Mus musculus: one gene and its partner. Each later gene encodes a partner of the first gene's protein in a complex. Links are inferred from orthologs where the notes say so. Each region holds a gene or a part of one and is shown in the gene's direction. Other genes may lie near its edges.

Evidence for each region. The genes of interacting proteins can lie anywhere in the genome.
Region 2: the proteins of Gnas (region 1) and Gpr3 are in contact, whole or in part, in a cryo-EM structure (PDB 9LYB), measured with the Homo sapiens proteins. The link is inferred for Mus musculus from reciprocal best matches to the Homo sapiens genes GNAS and GPR3. Residues at the interface, in NP_000507.1 of Homo sapiens: Gln35, Arg38, Ala39, His41, Val217, Phe219, Asp323, Asp343, Leu346, Thr350, Tyr358, Cys359, Phe376, Cys379, Arg380, Asp381, Ile383, Gln384, Arg385, Met386, His387, Leu388, Gln390, Tyr391, Glu392, Leu393, Leu394; in NP_005272.1 of Homo sapiens: Met75, Arg134, Ser137, Leu138, Tyr139, Ala141, Leu142, Tyr144, Tyr145, Glu147, Ile216, Ile219, Val220, Arg222, His223, Gln226, Ile227, Leu229, Gln230, Arg231, His232, Lys244, Gly245, Thr248, Arg300.

What each region holds. Positions count from the first base shown.
Region 1 is NC_000068.7:174,295,660-174,302,013, forward strand, and holds the start of Gnas (protein GNAS), read left to right. Parts: upstream 1-2,199; 5' UTR 2,200-2,202; coding exon 2,203-4,558; intron 4,559-4,771; coding exon of another isoform or gene 4,772-5,046; exon of another isoform or gene 5,047-5,900; intron 5,901-6,354. UniProt on the Homo sapiens protein: Guanine nucleotide-binding proteins (G proteins) function as transducers in numerous signaling pathways controlled by G protein-coupled receptors (GPCRs).
Region 2 is NC_000070.6:133,208,750-133,215,103, reverse strand, and holds Gpr3 (G-protein coupled receptor 3), read left to right. Parts: upstream 1-2,567; 5' UTR 2,568-2,685; intron 2,686-3,739; 5' UTR 3,740-3,744; coding exon 3,745-4,737; 3' UTR 4,738-5,764; downstream 5,765-6,354. UniProt on the Homo sapiens protein: Constitutively active G-protein coupled receptor that maintains high 3'-5'-cyclic adenosine monophosphate (cAMP) levels that a plays a role in serveral processes including meiotic arrest in oocytes or neuronal development via activation of numerous intracellular signaling pathways.

The sequences.
Region 1 (6,354 bases):
TGTGGGGGAGGGTAGTTGGCCAAACTTTGGACCAAAGTTCAAAGTGTCCGGCATGCAGTGTGTTCAGCCGTAGAGTTGAGGTGACACGCCTTCGGCAGGTCGCAGGCATTCTCTGGGGGTTCACTTTGTCTGCTTTCTTCTACTCAGGGTGACCACGTGGACGCTGTAGGCAAGGGGCTGTAGTGTGCCGAGCCTGTAGTGAGAAGAGGGACATGTTAGACTTCAGAGAATTAAATCTGCCGCGGCACACAGCATGCATCTTGCAATATACCCATCTGCATGGTGCATAATTGCCGCAGCCTGCTTTATGTACCACTTCATACTCTCTTTTCTCAGGGTCCTGCAGGCCAGACCTGCCCACTGCCTAGCTGTATTGCAACAAAAGACAATGCCTCGCGCCATCGCCATTACCTACTGGCAAAATGTCCGCGGTGTGCGCGTGCCGCGGGCGCGCGGCAAAACAAAAAAAAACAGAACCCCAAAGGCAAACAATTAACAAAAAAACCCTGCCCAGGAATAATCTGCAGATCCCAGACCTAAAGCATTTTATGATTATTCGCTGAGCCCACCGGGCAATGTGACTGTATAAACTCCTGCAGCTCTGAGCCCACCCCGGCACCGCAAGGGGCGCGCAGCCGCAGGCTTTGTGACCGCGCTTAATTTCGCCTGGGTGGACTGTTGCAGTTCAACGTATAGCAAATGCTCTATGGTGCTCACAACAGAAGGAGGAGGGGATAAAAGGGGGCTGGAGAAGGGCTTGAGAGAGGAAATGAACACGGAATCCGCAGCTGGCGCTGGTGGCTGGAAGATGCGAGTCTCGGCAGCTGTTGCCACCATGGCACGGTTGGTCGGTGGGTTAAGTGCATTTCAGGTTTTCTAGTCTGCGAGACCACCCTAAATGGGCCATCAACTACACCCCAAATCTCCTTTTGCCTTTACCCAGAAGACAGAAGTACAAGACCTGAGCTAGGTGGGGGGTCTTCCGGTAAGCCTTAAGCCCCCTCCCCTATTTGCACGAAAGCGGCAAACATGAATAACTCCTAAGGGGGCTTTGCTTGATTTTCTGCAGTGCACTGCTGAGACCTTTATTTCTACTGCATCACCGTCCATATAAACAGAGCAAGCCCTGACTACAACACACTATACCACTGTTGAGAGCTCCGAGGTGTAATGGGGATGGGGGACATTGAAGGGATTTGCTGGAGCCATCCCCAACAAACAGCAAACATAAACATTAAAAAAAGAAAAAAAAAGGAAAAAAAAGAAATAAAGAAAAGTACCCTAGAGCATTTACGAAACAAATTGCGTGTTTACATTCGGCACTTCCTCACCCTGTCTCTACCCTTCCGGTGGGCTCACGACCACCTGTCGCATTTGTGTGTGTGTGTGCCTCTACCCCTTTCCTTGTATCCTAAAGCCTCCATTTCCTGACTTGGAGATGAGTATGGGTAATTGCCTGAGTGTGGGGTCCTTAGATAAGGAATTTACCGCATACTGGGGTAATCTGGGGTGATAAAGCCCTCCTGCAGTCCCTCCTCCCCTCGAGAAGAATCAGATGGGGAGGGAGGCTTTCAGCGTCTGTACTCTAACAGACCAATGCCCACGTCTTGCGTCACGTGTCCCAGCAACGCAAGAGAGCTCGCTCGCTCTCTGGCCAGGGAAAAAGCGAGCTAGAGAGACTCGGAATCAGTCCGGGAGAGGAGAGGACGGAGCCGAACGTCCCTACAAGGCCTCCGCTCATCAGCCCCCTTACCCAAAGTCGGGAGCAGCCGGCACCGGGAGCCAGCTCCCGGAGCCGGCTCAGCACTGAGACCTGCGTCCTCTGGCGGCAGAGAAAGAGTTCTATTTACGATTTTCGAGACGAATCGGCACGCTCTTAAATGCCAAGAAGGCGGAGCTAAAGTACAGCAAAGTACGAAGAGAGAACAGAAAAGTTCCTAAAGTTGTTGGCCGACCACAGCCCGAAGGGGTAAGTGTAACTAGGAAGGTGACAGACTTCACCAGCAAGAGATGACTCACTTCAGCCATGGTCCTGGGTTCTAGCCCCTGATTATCTATCCTTACAAAGTTTGGAAACTGAGGCTGGAGAACTTTCCAACAAAAATTTGAATTTTTTAAAAAAAAATTTTTTTTCACCCTAGTTTGGCTGGGTGCTCCGTCTTACGGGGCCCCAAATTTATTTTGAAAAGTCGCCACCGTGTTATGGGCATGTTCAACTGCCTCCACGGCAATAATATGTCAGGACAACACGATATCCCCCCTGAAGTCGGGGAGCAGCCCGAGCAAGAACCTTTGGAAGCCCCAGGGGCAGCTGCCCCCGGTGCTGGGGCTGGCCCAGCCGAAGAAATGGCGACCGAACCGGACTCCGAACCGTCTAACAATGAGCCCGTCCCCGACGAGACTGGCAGTGAGATCAGTGGACCCCCAGAAGACTCCAAATCTGACATCCAAAGCCCCTGCCAGGCCTTCGAGGAAGTCCGAGTGGGTGGAGACTACAGCCCACCTCCGGAGGAAGCCATGCCATTCGAGACACAACAGCCCAGCCTGGGAGATTTCTGGCCCACCCTGGAGCAGCCAGGACCATCTGGGACCCCATCAGGCCTCCAAGCCTTCAACCCAGCGATTTTGGAGCCCGGGACCCCCACTGGCGCGAGCCCAGGCCTGGGAGCCTATACCCCCCCACCAGAAGAAGCTATGCCATTTGAGTTCAACGAGCCTGCCCAGGGAGACCATAGCCAGCCTCCCTTGCAAGTCCCAGACCTTGCGCCAGGAGGTCCGGAAGCATTGGTCCCCAGAGCTCTTCCCGCGGAGCCCGGGAACATCAGATTTGAAAACGCTGGCTTCCGAGAAGACTACAGCCCTCCCCCTGAAGAATCTGTGCCATTTCAGGTCGGTGGAGAAGAATTCGGGGGCGATAGCCCACCCCCAGGACTCCCGCGAGTCATCCCACAAATCGGCATTGGCGGCGAGTTCCCGACAGTCGCGGTCCCGAGTGCGCTCTGCCTCGCTCCCGCCGAGAACGCGCCTCCCCTCTGGGTCCGAGGCGCCATTGACAGACCATTCCGCGAGGCTGTCAGATCTCCTCCTAACTTCGCATGCGACAGCCCCCCGATGGAGATCACCAGACCCCTGCTTGAGATTGGCAGAGCCTCCATTGGGGTCGACGACGACACCGCTGTCAATATGGACAGCCCCCCAATCGCAAGTGATGGCCCGCCCATCGAAGTCTCGGGAGCCCCAGATAAGAGCGAGTGCGCAGAGAGACCCCCAGTTGAGCGAGAAGCAGCCGAGATGGAAGGAAGCCCTACCACCGCCACTGCGGTGGAAGGAAAAGTCCCCTCTCCGGAGAGAGGGGACGGATCTTCCACCCAGCCTGAAGCAATGGATGCCAAGCCAGCCCCTGCTGCCCAAGCCGTCTCTACCGGATCTGATGCTGGAGCTCCTACGGATTCCGCGATGCTCACAGATAGCCAGAGCGATGCCGGAGAAGACGGGACAGCCCCAGGAACGCCTTCAGATCTCCAGTCGGATCCTGAAGAACTCGAAGAAGCCCCAGCTGTCCGCGCCGATCCTGACGGAGGGGCAGCCCCAGTCGCCCCAGCCACTCCTGCCGAGTCCGAGTCTGAAGGCAGCAGAGATCCAGCCGCCGAGCCAGCCTCCGAGGCAGTCCCTGCCACCACGGCCGAGTCTGCCTCCGGGGCAGCCCCTGTCACCCAGGTGGAGCCCGCAGCCGCGGCAGTCTCTGCCACCCTGGCGGAGCCTGCCGCCCGGGCAGCCCCTATCACCCCCAAGGAGCCCACTACCCGGGCAGTCCCCTCTGCTAGAGCCCATCCGGCCGCTGGAGCAGTCCCTGGCGCCCCAGCAATGTCAGCCTCTGCTAGGGCAGCTGCCGCTAGGGCAGCCTATGCAGGTCCACTGGTCTGGGGAGCCAGGTCACTCTCAGCTACTCCCGCCGCTCGGGCATCCCTTCCTGCCCGCGCAGCAGCTGCCGCCCGGGCAGCCTCTGCTGCCCGCGCAGTCGCTGCTGGCCGGTCAGCCTCTGCCGCCCCCAGCAGGGCCCATCTTAGACCCCCCAGCCCCGAGATCCAGGTTGCTGACCCGCCTACTCCGCGGCCTCCTCCGCGGCCGACTGCCTGGCCTGACAAGTACGAGCGGGGCCGAAGCTGCTGCAGGTACGAGGCATCGTCTGGCATCTGCGAGATCGAGTCCTCCAGTGATGAGTCGGAAGAAGGGGCCACCGGCTGCTTCCAGTGGCTTCTGCGGCGAAACCGCCGCCCTGGCCTGCCCCGGAGCCACACGGTCGGGAGCAACCCAGTCCGCAACTTCTTCACCCGAGCCTTCGGAAGCTGCTTCGGTCTATCCGAGTGTACCCGATCACGATCCCTCAGCCCCGGGAAGGCCAAGGATCCTATGGAGGAGAGGCGCAAACAGATGCGCAAAGAAGCCATTGAGATGCGAGAGCAGAAGCGCGCAGATAAGAAACGCAGCAAGCTCATCGACAAGCAACTGGAGGAGGAGAAGATGGACTACATGTGTACACACCGCCTGCTGCTTCTAGGTAATGCGGCAGCTTCTGCCCCTGGGCAGTAGGGCCGCCCGGGCCGCCCGGGGAGGGGGTGGCAGGGCCTTCCGGTGGGGCTTGGGCCTTGCCCGCGGGAGGAGGGGGTCCGGAAACCCTGTTAGAAGTTCCAGGGAGGGACCCCCAACTCTGCCCTGGGGTGGGAGAGGGGCCTTTTGGAGAGTTCGGGTGGCCGAACTATATGCCCTCCAGGGAGAAAAGTGGTGCCGAGCGACACTGAGGGTCGTTACCGGCCGGAGGCCAGCGCCAGCGCCAGCGATCGTAGGCTGGACAGGCGGGGGCGTGAGGTGAGCCCAGAACTGCTGGGGTGGGCCCTTCGGGGCTCCCCCGGCTCGATTGTTCGTGACCGCGGTGGGCTAGGGCCATCCGGGTGCGCGCCCCCGCCTCGCCTGGCACGGCTGCTTCGACTCAGACAGCTTGTTGTTGGTGTGTGTTGGTGTCCATTTTCTGTGTTCGCCTGTGCATGACATGCTCAGTGTGTCCCAGTATCCATCCCAGGCACTTTCAACGTACCCGCCGATTTTATATTTGTACTCTAAAATAGGTTACCTTGTGATTTGCGCCATGGCGCGGCCAAAACTTTCCGTGCTGGTACACTCTGTAATAACCTGTGTGCAGACTCTCTGCAGCGAGCAGAGGGAAAACGCGCAGGCAACGGTGGCGTGGCATCCTGGGTAATCTGCTGGGCCGATGACTGGGGGGAGTGGGGCCTGCCGCCGCGGGCCTCCATAACCTTTTCCCGGTATGTCTCTCTCTCTCTTTTCCCCTTTGCGCTAAGCATATCCTCACTTCTCAATACGTATGTCAAACCCTCCCGCCTTAACGGTTGAAAAACCAGACACTCAGGGCTTTGGGGTTGTTCAAAACATGTGTATTTTGTATTCTGTGCACATGCACACACATACTGGATCCACCTGTGGGGGGGGGGGAGTAGAGCAGGAGGAAGGTTTGGGGGGGGTACCTTAGCCCTGCTGGCAAGGCCACATTCAAAACACACAGGGTTAGTTTCAAGGGAGTGGGCGTGGCTGGATTTAAATATATATCTATATATATAAAATAATTTTCTCCTTAGCGAAGAGCCCGAGGTAAGGCAATCACTTATATTTTTACAATTCGTGGCAGGAAGGGCCTAGTTTAAGAAGGTTGGGAGTTGTATGTTGGGAGTACAATCTTGCCTTTGTATTTTAATTGCAATTAAAAATAAAAATAAATAAATACTAAATGTGTGAACACTGCATGGGAAGCTGGGGATAGCCTTGTGAACTGTGTATATGTTTGCATGTCGATCTTTTTTTCAAGCAGCTTTAGCTGAGGACTGAAGGTAAGAAATTCTATGCATCAGTTGAGGATGAAAAAAAATAAAGATTTTTTTTTTTAGGATGACGATTAAAGAAATGTTATGCCAGCCAGATAGGTACCTTTTGAGGCCCTCATCTTCCACCGCCCACTCCCCAGCTCTCCATGTCCCCAGCTCTTCATGTCCCCTCCCCTCGCAGAAACCCCTCCCCTCATCCTGCAGTCAGAGCCCCTCCCACCACAGACTTCTCATTTCCAACCTGAGTCGTTCATTCTTCTTGCCAGATTAATCAAAACAGCAATTAACAATGGTCTGTATCTATAGCTTAAATAAAATCTTCATGAGTGAATCTCCACAATTAATTTATTTATTTTCTCAAACCTGTCAAGGGAATCTCAGGATTACAGTGTCTAAGGCTGTGCTCCATTTGCCTGTGAGATATTCGATAATCTGTGATGGTATTTATTAAAGACATTGA
Region 2 (6,354 bases), on another chromosome or scaffold:
TATGAGTATTTTCAATTTTGTTTGCTTCTTTGTTTTTTCAAGACAGTGTTTTTCTGTGTAGCCGTGGCCGGCCTGGAACTCAAGAGATCTGCTTGATCAAAGGCATGCACCACTATTGCCCGACAAATTTTTGTTTGTTGTGTTTTGTTTTGTTTTTCAAGACAGGGTTTCTCTGTATAGCCCTGGCTGTCCTGGAACTCACTTTGTAGACCAGGCTGGCCTCGAACTCAGAAATCCGTCTGCCTCTGCCTCCTGAGTGCTGGGATTAAAGGTGTGTGTCACCACCGCCCAGTTTTGTTGTTTTTTAAATATGAATGAGGTTCCGCATGGGTTCTGGGAGCCAACCTTGGGTCCTCTGGAAGAGCAACACATACTTTTAACTATTGAGTTATCGCTCCAGTCTCATACTTGAGTGTTTTTGTTTTGAGACAAGGTCTCTCTGCATAGCCCTGGCTGACCTGGAACTCACTCTGCAGACAAGACTGGCTTCAAACTCACAAGATCTGCCTCCCGAGTGCTGGGATTCAAGGCATGCGCCTCTGCCTCCTTTGTTTCCCTCTCCTTGACTGTTCCTGTTATGTTTCATCAACCAACAGATAATAGTAACTGAATACCAATTACATATCAGGCACTGTCCCTAGCACAAACCAAACCTAGGCATTATTGTCACATGCCTTATCCTACAGTGGGACAGCCTCAGACTCCAAGCAAACAGTAAAAGGGAACTAGGGAGAGTATTTTGTTGCAGGAGTTCTGCACACCTGAGAAGATAACAAAGCAAGGAGGGAAGGCCAGGGGAAGGTTAGTCGGTCATTTGTGACCGGTCAGGAAGCCCATTTATGGATGAAATGGCTAAAAGGAGAGTTCTGAAGGGAGCTTGCCCATAGGAGCCTGCAGCAGGAGAGCCCCATCTAGCCTGGTCCCACAAAGGCAGAGCCTCCTGTGACCACTCTTCATTTTCTTTGTGCCCTCCTGTGTTTCCCTGACATCCTCTACTGGCCAGATACACCACTGACAGCCAATATACAGCCCCGTGCTGCTAACGGGCCAACTGCCCCCAGCAGTCCCCAGCCGTTTAGACATGAAAAAACAGCTTCAGAGAGCCTAACAGGGCCTCAAAGTCACAGGGTTCGGAAGCGTGGATTAGGCTTGGAGGCCTGACCTCCTCCACCAGCTGAACTCCCCATATCCCGCCCAAACCCTGCCAGTCTCCAGCCCATGCTCTGTCATCTCTGTGAGGCTATGACGCATTCCCTGACTCCTGGCCTCCTTCCTTTCCTCAGCCTCAGACCGACATCCGACCCCTGACTCCCATCACCCTCCTAAAGTCTTGAACATTCCAGAGACGATCAAAGGGAGAAAGGACAGTACTGGTGCCTAGGGTTAGATCTGATGGGGCATTTCCCTAGGGATGGCGCAGGCAGGTCTAGTAAAGAGCAAGTTTTCTTTCTGCCCCACCCCCTGGGGTACCTAAGCCGGTGCTCAGGAAGGCTGCTCTGAGCACGGAGCTGCCGAGTCCTTCTGCTTCCAAGTTCTTCCCGGCTCCCTATCTCCTGCTGCTTCGGGGAAGTGACCACCCCCGCCCCCCCCCAGCCCTCGCTCTGGCTTTTCAGATCCTTGAATAAATAATTGAGGTTTTGAAATCTTGCCAGGCGCACCCTCCCATGCAGAGAGGACGCTATTGGGTCCACATGAGTGACGTCACCCAGCTCCTTATTCCAACCCCAACATCACGGGACCTGTCCTGACAGCAACTTACCTGCTGGGTCGCTGTCCAGTCAGACTTCCTACCCTGTTCCCTCACTCTGGGGCCCACACACAAGTCATTTGGTCTTTACTTCAGGACCCCACAGCTCTCATTTAGCTTCGTCACCTCAGTCCTTTATAGCACTTAACAGGGTCACAGTGACCTGAAGTTCCTTCACCTGCACACTCATCTCCAAAGCCTTGTCACCACTTCTGTTACCCTAGGGTCCCCGAGCTCCATCATGCTGCAGTCATCCTGACAATGCTGTGGCTGTCCTGAGGAGGCCTACACCCCGCTACCGTCAACGTCCCACAGCCGCCATCCTCCAAGATCCTGTCACCGTGCTCATATCGTCACAGCCACCCACCTCCCTGCTCCCTCGTGCTCCTGTCACCGTCGCCTCGGGGCCCTATCAGAGGCAGAGCCTGTCATCCTCACCGGGGACGCCCATTTCGCTCCATCACCTGTCTTATGTCAGCTCGTTTCTGCCACCGAAGGTACTCATCACCCCCGCAGACTATCCCAATCCCTTGACCTCTTCCCACATCCTCTGTGACCTCCCCGAGTCTCTTTTAAGGCTCTCCCACTAGTGTCCCCAAAACCCCCGACCCGCAGAGGGCGCCGCGTCAAGGACAGAGAGCCGGCTCCGGAGGGGGCGGGGCCGCGGCCACGGTCACTTTTTATGAATGGGGGAGCGGGCGGCGCGAGGCCTCATTACTATGCCGCGCAGCACGCGCTGCGCTCCAGCGCGCAGCGCCCATTGGCCTGCTGGGCTTCTGGCGTCACCAAACCGGTGGCCGGGGGCGGGGCGGGGCGGGGTGACTCACGCCGCGTCTCCCGCGGCCGCGGGGGCTTCTTGGGGTCCGCGCACACCTTGCTCTGCCAGAACCTGAGTGGAGGCGCCCCGCGGCCCGGCCGCACCCGGTCCTGAGCCACCGGTGAGTAGTGGGCCCTGCCGCGGGTACCCGGAGTCTGGGAGGACACAGCGTGCAGGGGCGCCGGGCCGGCGGAAGGCTGCTTGCCCCTGCTCAGGGTCGGGGGGTCGTACCTGGGACTCTGGATGTGCAGAGTCTGCATAAGCAGGCAGCTCCCCAAGTGTTCGGGTGCTCTCGAGTGGTATGATGGGGTGACCCGGCAAAGGGTGAGCATTCCTGCGGGACCTGAGGCCCTAGAGGGACGGGCGGTCATCTGAGGTTGGGAGAACAGGAGGCGTCTGGGGCGGGCACCTAGACGTCCGAGTAGCGGGTGGTGTCTTATTTGGGGCTTCGGCTATCCAAGGCAGGAGGCGGAGTCAGGCCCAAGATCCAGGTGTCCGGGCAGAAGGAGGGGTCTGACTCAGGAATCCGGCTTTCACCAGGGGGTGTCTGCTACGGAGACCCAGTGGTTAGGAGGAAGAAGGGGGCAGTGTGTGTGGGGTGTCTGTCCGGAGTCAGAAGTCTGGGAGAGTGTAGGGGAAATGAGTTCCCAGGTGTTACCCTGGGAATGTCGAGTGGGGGCTGGCAAGAAGCTGCACCGGCTTTGCCTGGGGGCGGAGCTTGAGGCTGGCAGTGCCCATGAATCGTGAGGGGTCTGGGAGCTTCAGGAACCAAGTCATCGTGTCTGGTGGGAGGGAGCTGACTGCTCTTCTTCTTGACGTGTTTCCCTCCCCTATTCATGAGCCTATTGAGGGCACACCTTGAATCCTGTGCTTCCCCTATTCACTTATGGTAAGCTTTGATTCACTTCTTTGACCACGTGTGGCCAAGAGGTCTTCAGGACTTAGAGGAATGGAGGGGAGGGTGAAGGGACACAGAAAAGGGATCACCGAGAAAAAGGGACCCCTGTTTAGAGGCCTGGAGGCATCAGAGGACAAAAACCACAGGACATGAATTGGGGGTGTGGGGTGTGCAGGACATCCGTACCCTACCTGTTATCCTGACAGCTTTCTTTTCTCGAAGGGCCTCCTGTCAGGATACGGGCCTGCCAGCATCTCATAGGACCTTTCTTCTACAGGTACCATGATGTGGGGAGCAGGAAGCTCTATGGCCTGGTTCTCAGCTGGCTCAGGCAGTGTGAACGTGAGCAGCGTGGACCCAGTAGAGGAACCCACAGGCCCAGCTACACTGCTGCCCTCTCCCAGGGCCTGGGATGTGGTGCTGTGCATCTCAGGCACCCTGGTGTCCTGCGAGAACGCGCTGGTGGTGGCCATCATTGTGGGCACTCCTGCCTTCCGCGCCCCCATGTTCCTGCTGGTGGGTAGCTTGGCCGTAGCAGACCTGCTGGCAGGCCTGGGCCTGGTCCTGCACTTTGCGGCTGACTTCTGCATTGGCTCACCAGAGATGAGCTTGATGCTGGTCGGCGTGCTAGCAATGGCCTTCACTGCCAGCATCGGCAGCCTGCTGGCCATTACCGTTGACCGCTACCTTTCCCTGTACAATGCTCTCACTTACTACTCAGAGACAACGGTAACTCGGACTTATGTGATGCTGGCCTTGGTGTGGGTGGGTGCCCTGGGCCTGGGGCTGGTTCCCGTGCTGGCCTGGAACTGCCGGGATGGCCTGACCACGTGTGGTGTGGTCTATCCACTCTCCAAGAACCATCTGGTGGTTCTGGCCATCGCCTTCTTCATGGTGTTTGGCATCATGTTGCAGCTCTATGCCCAGATCTGCCGCATCGTCTGCCGCCATGCCCAGCAGATCGCCCTCCAACGACACCTGCTGCCTGCCTCTCACTACGTGGCCACCCGCAAGGGCATCGCCACATTGGCTGTGGTGCTTGGCGCCTTTGCTGCCTGTTGGTTGCCCTTCACTGTCTACTGCCTCCTGGGAGATGCCGACTCTCCCCGTCTCTACACCTATCTTACCCTGCTCCCAGCCACCTACAACTCCATGATCAACCCTGTCATCTACGCCTTTCGCAACCAAGATGTGCAGAAGGTGCTGTGGGCCATCTGCTGCTGCTGTTCCACTTCCAAGATTCCATTCCGGTCCCGGTCCCCTAGTGATGTCTAGTTTCATCCTGGTGAACCTGTGGCTTTGACTACTATAGAACTCCAGAGTGTTAGGTCCACCAGGGCTTAATTCCAATCCCCAGCTCCACGCCCTTAAGACCCAGCTGGTTCTGGAGTTCTAGGACGTTGGGTGTTTTAGGATCTTATTCAAGATTCCTGCGGGGGGCCCACCCCAGCTGACCGCGTGGCTCTAGAATGTTCCAGATGGTCAGGGTCCCACTCGGAAATGTCTCACAGCCCAAGTGGTTTGCAGTTCCAGAAGGCTGGGAATTTTACAGTACCATTCCAAGTCCTTGATCTTCCTTCCCAGAAACTTGACCTTGATCATGTCGCTTTTGAATTTCGAAGCTCCAGAGTCAGAGGTTAATCACTTAGTTGCCTAGATGAGAGAAAGATTTATCTCTATATATGTGGACATACAGAGAAGGTTTATTTATTTATTTATTATTTATTTATTTATAAATTTGCTTATGGGTGGTAAGGGGGAAAAAAGAGACCTACACCTAGAAATCTAGCTCATATCAGGGTATCCTCAGCCTCCATGACCCCATTTCTGACCTCAGTTTCCGAAGGGGGCGGGATGGAAAAAGAGAAACCACGTATTTTGTTATTTTTGCTTATTTTTTATCAGAGAAATCATAGAAACCAGAGCCTCCTCCCCAGGCCCGCACTGCTCGGGTTTGCAGGGAGAACACACCAGCCTCTGGTTTTTTATTTTTTTAAGAAGCCATCACCTGAGCAACCGAGAATTCCTCTGCGCTGAGGCCCGGCTTCCCTCTGGTGGCCATTTGGGGGAATTGCAAACCGACAAGGCAGTCGGGATTGTAAAATGCACCCCCATCTCTCACTCCAGCCTGGCTTTCAGCGCCACAGCCATGGCCTGGGGGCCAGGCCTTACCCTGAGGTGCCCGAGAGGAGGCGGGACAAGAGCCAGTACCCCCACCCCTCTGCCAATCGGGTTATGGCCCCCAGTGCATTCCTGTTCAGTCCCCAACCCTACTCAATAAAAAAAAAATGGTTTTTTTGGATAAATGCTTGTGTCTGTGCATTTGCATAGTGTGGAGTTGAGCCAGAATAGTGGGACCCATAATGCATCTGGGAAATTAGTATCCCTTGGACCAAATCCTGGACATCAACTTGCAAGAACCTCCCTATCCAGGGACGAGAACCAGGATACTCCTCTTAGTTTGAAGGTCCCCACAGCTTGTCCACAGTAGCCAGATCAGGGCTTAGGCATGCAGAACATGTTTGTACCATGCAAGTTCCCTTCACAGCAATAGCTGCCTTCCACTGTGTTTCCTCTGGGCTACATTGTGCTAAGGGTACATGCCTAGCTAGGATGGATGGCACAGGCTATCTGGTCTCCACCTTAAATGTATGAGAAAACTGCTGAGGTCATACAGCTAGAAATACAAGATAGTATTCAAACCTGGAACATCTGTTTCCAAAACCTGTCCTCAGTCTCCTGGACAATGACTTTTCCTGTTTGTTTGTTTGTTTCCTACCCTGGAGCTCAACCTTCTGGACCTTGCCTTATGTCCTTGGGATCAGTGGCCCACATTTGGGAGGTGGTCGCATTGGAGAGCTGGTGTTCGCAACTGGACACTGGAACTGCAGG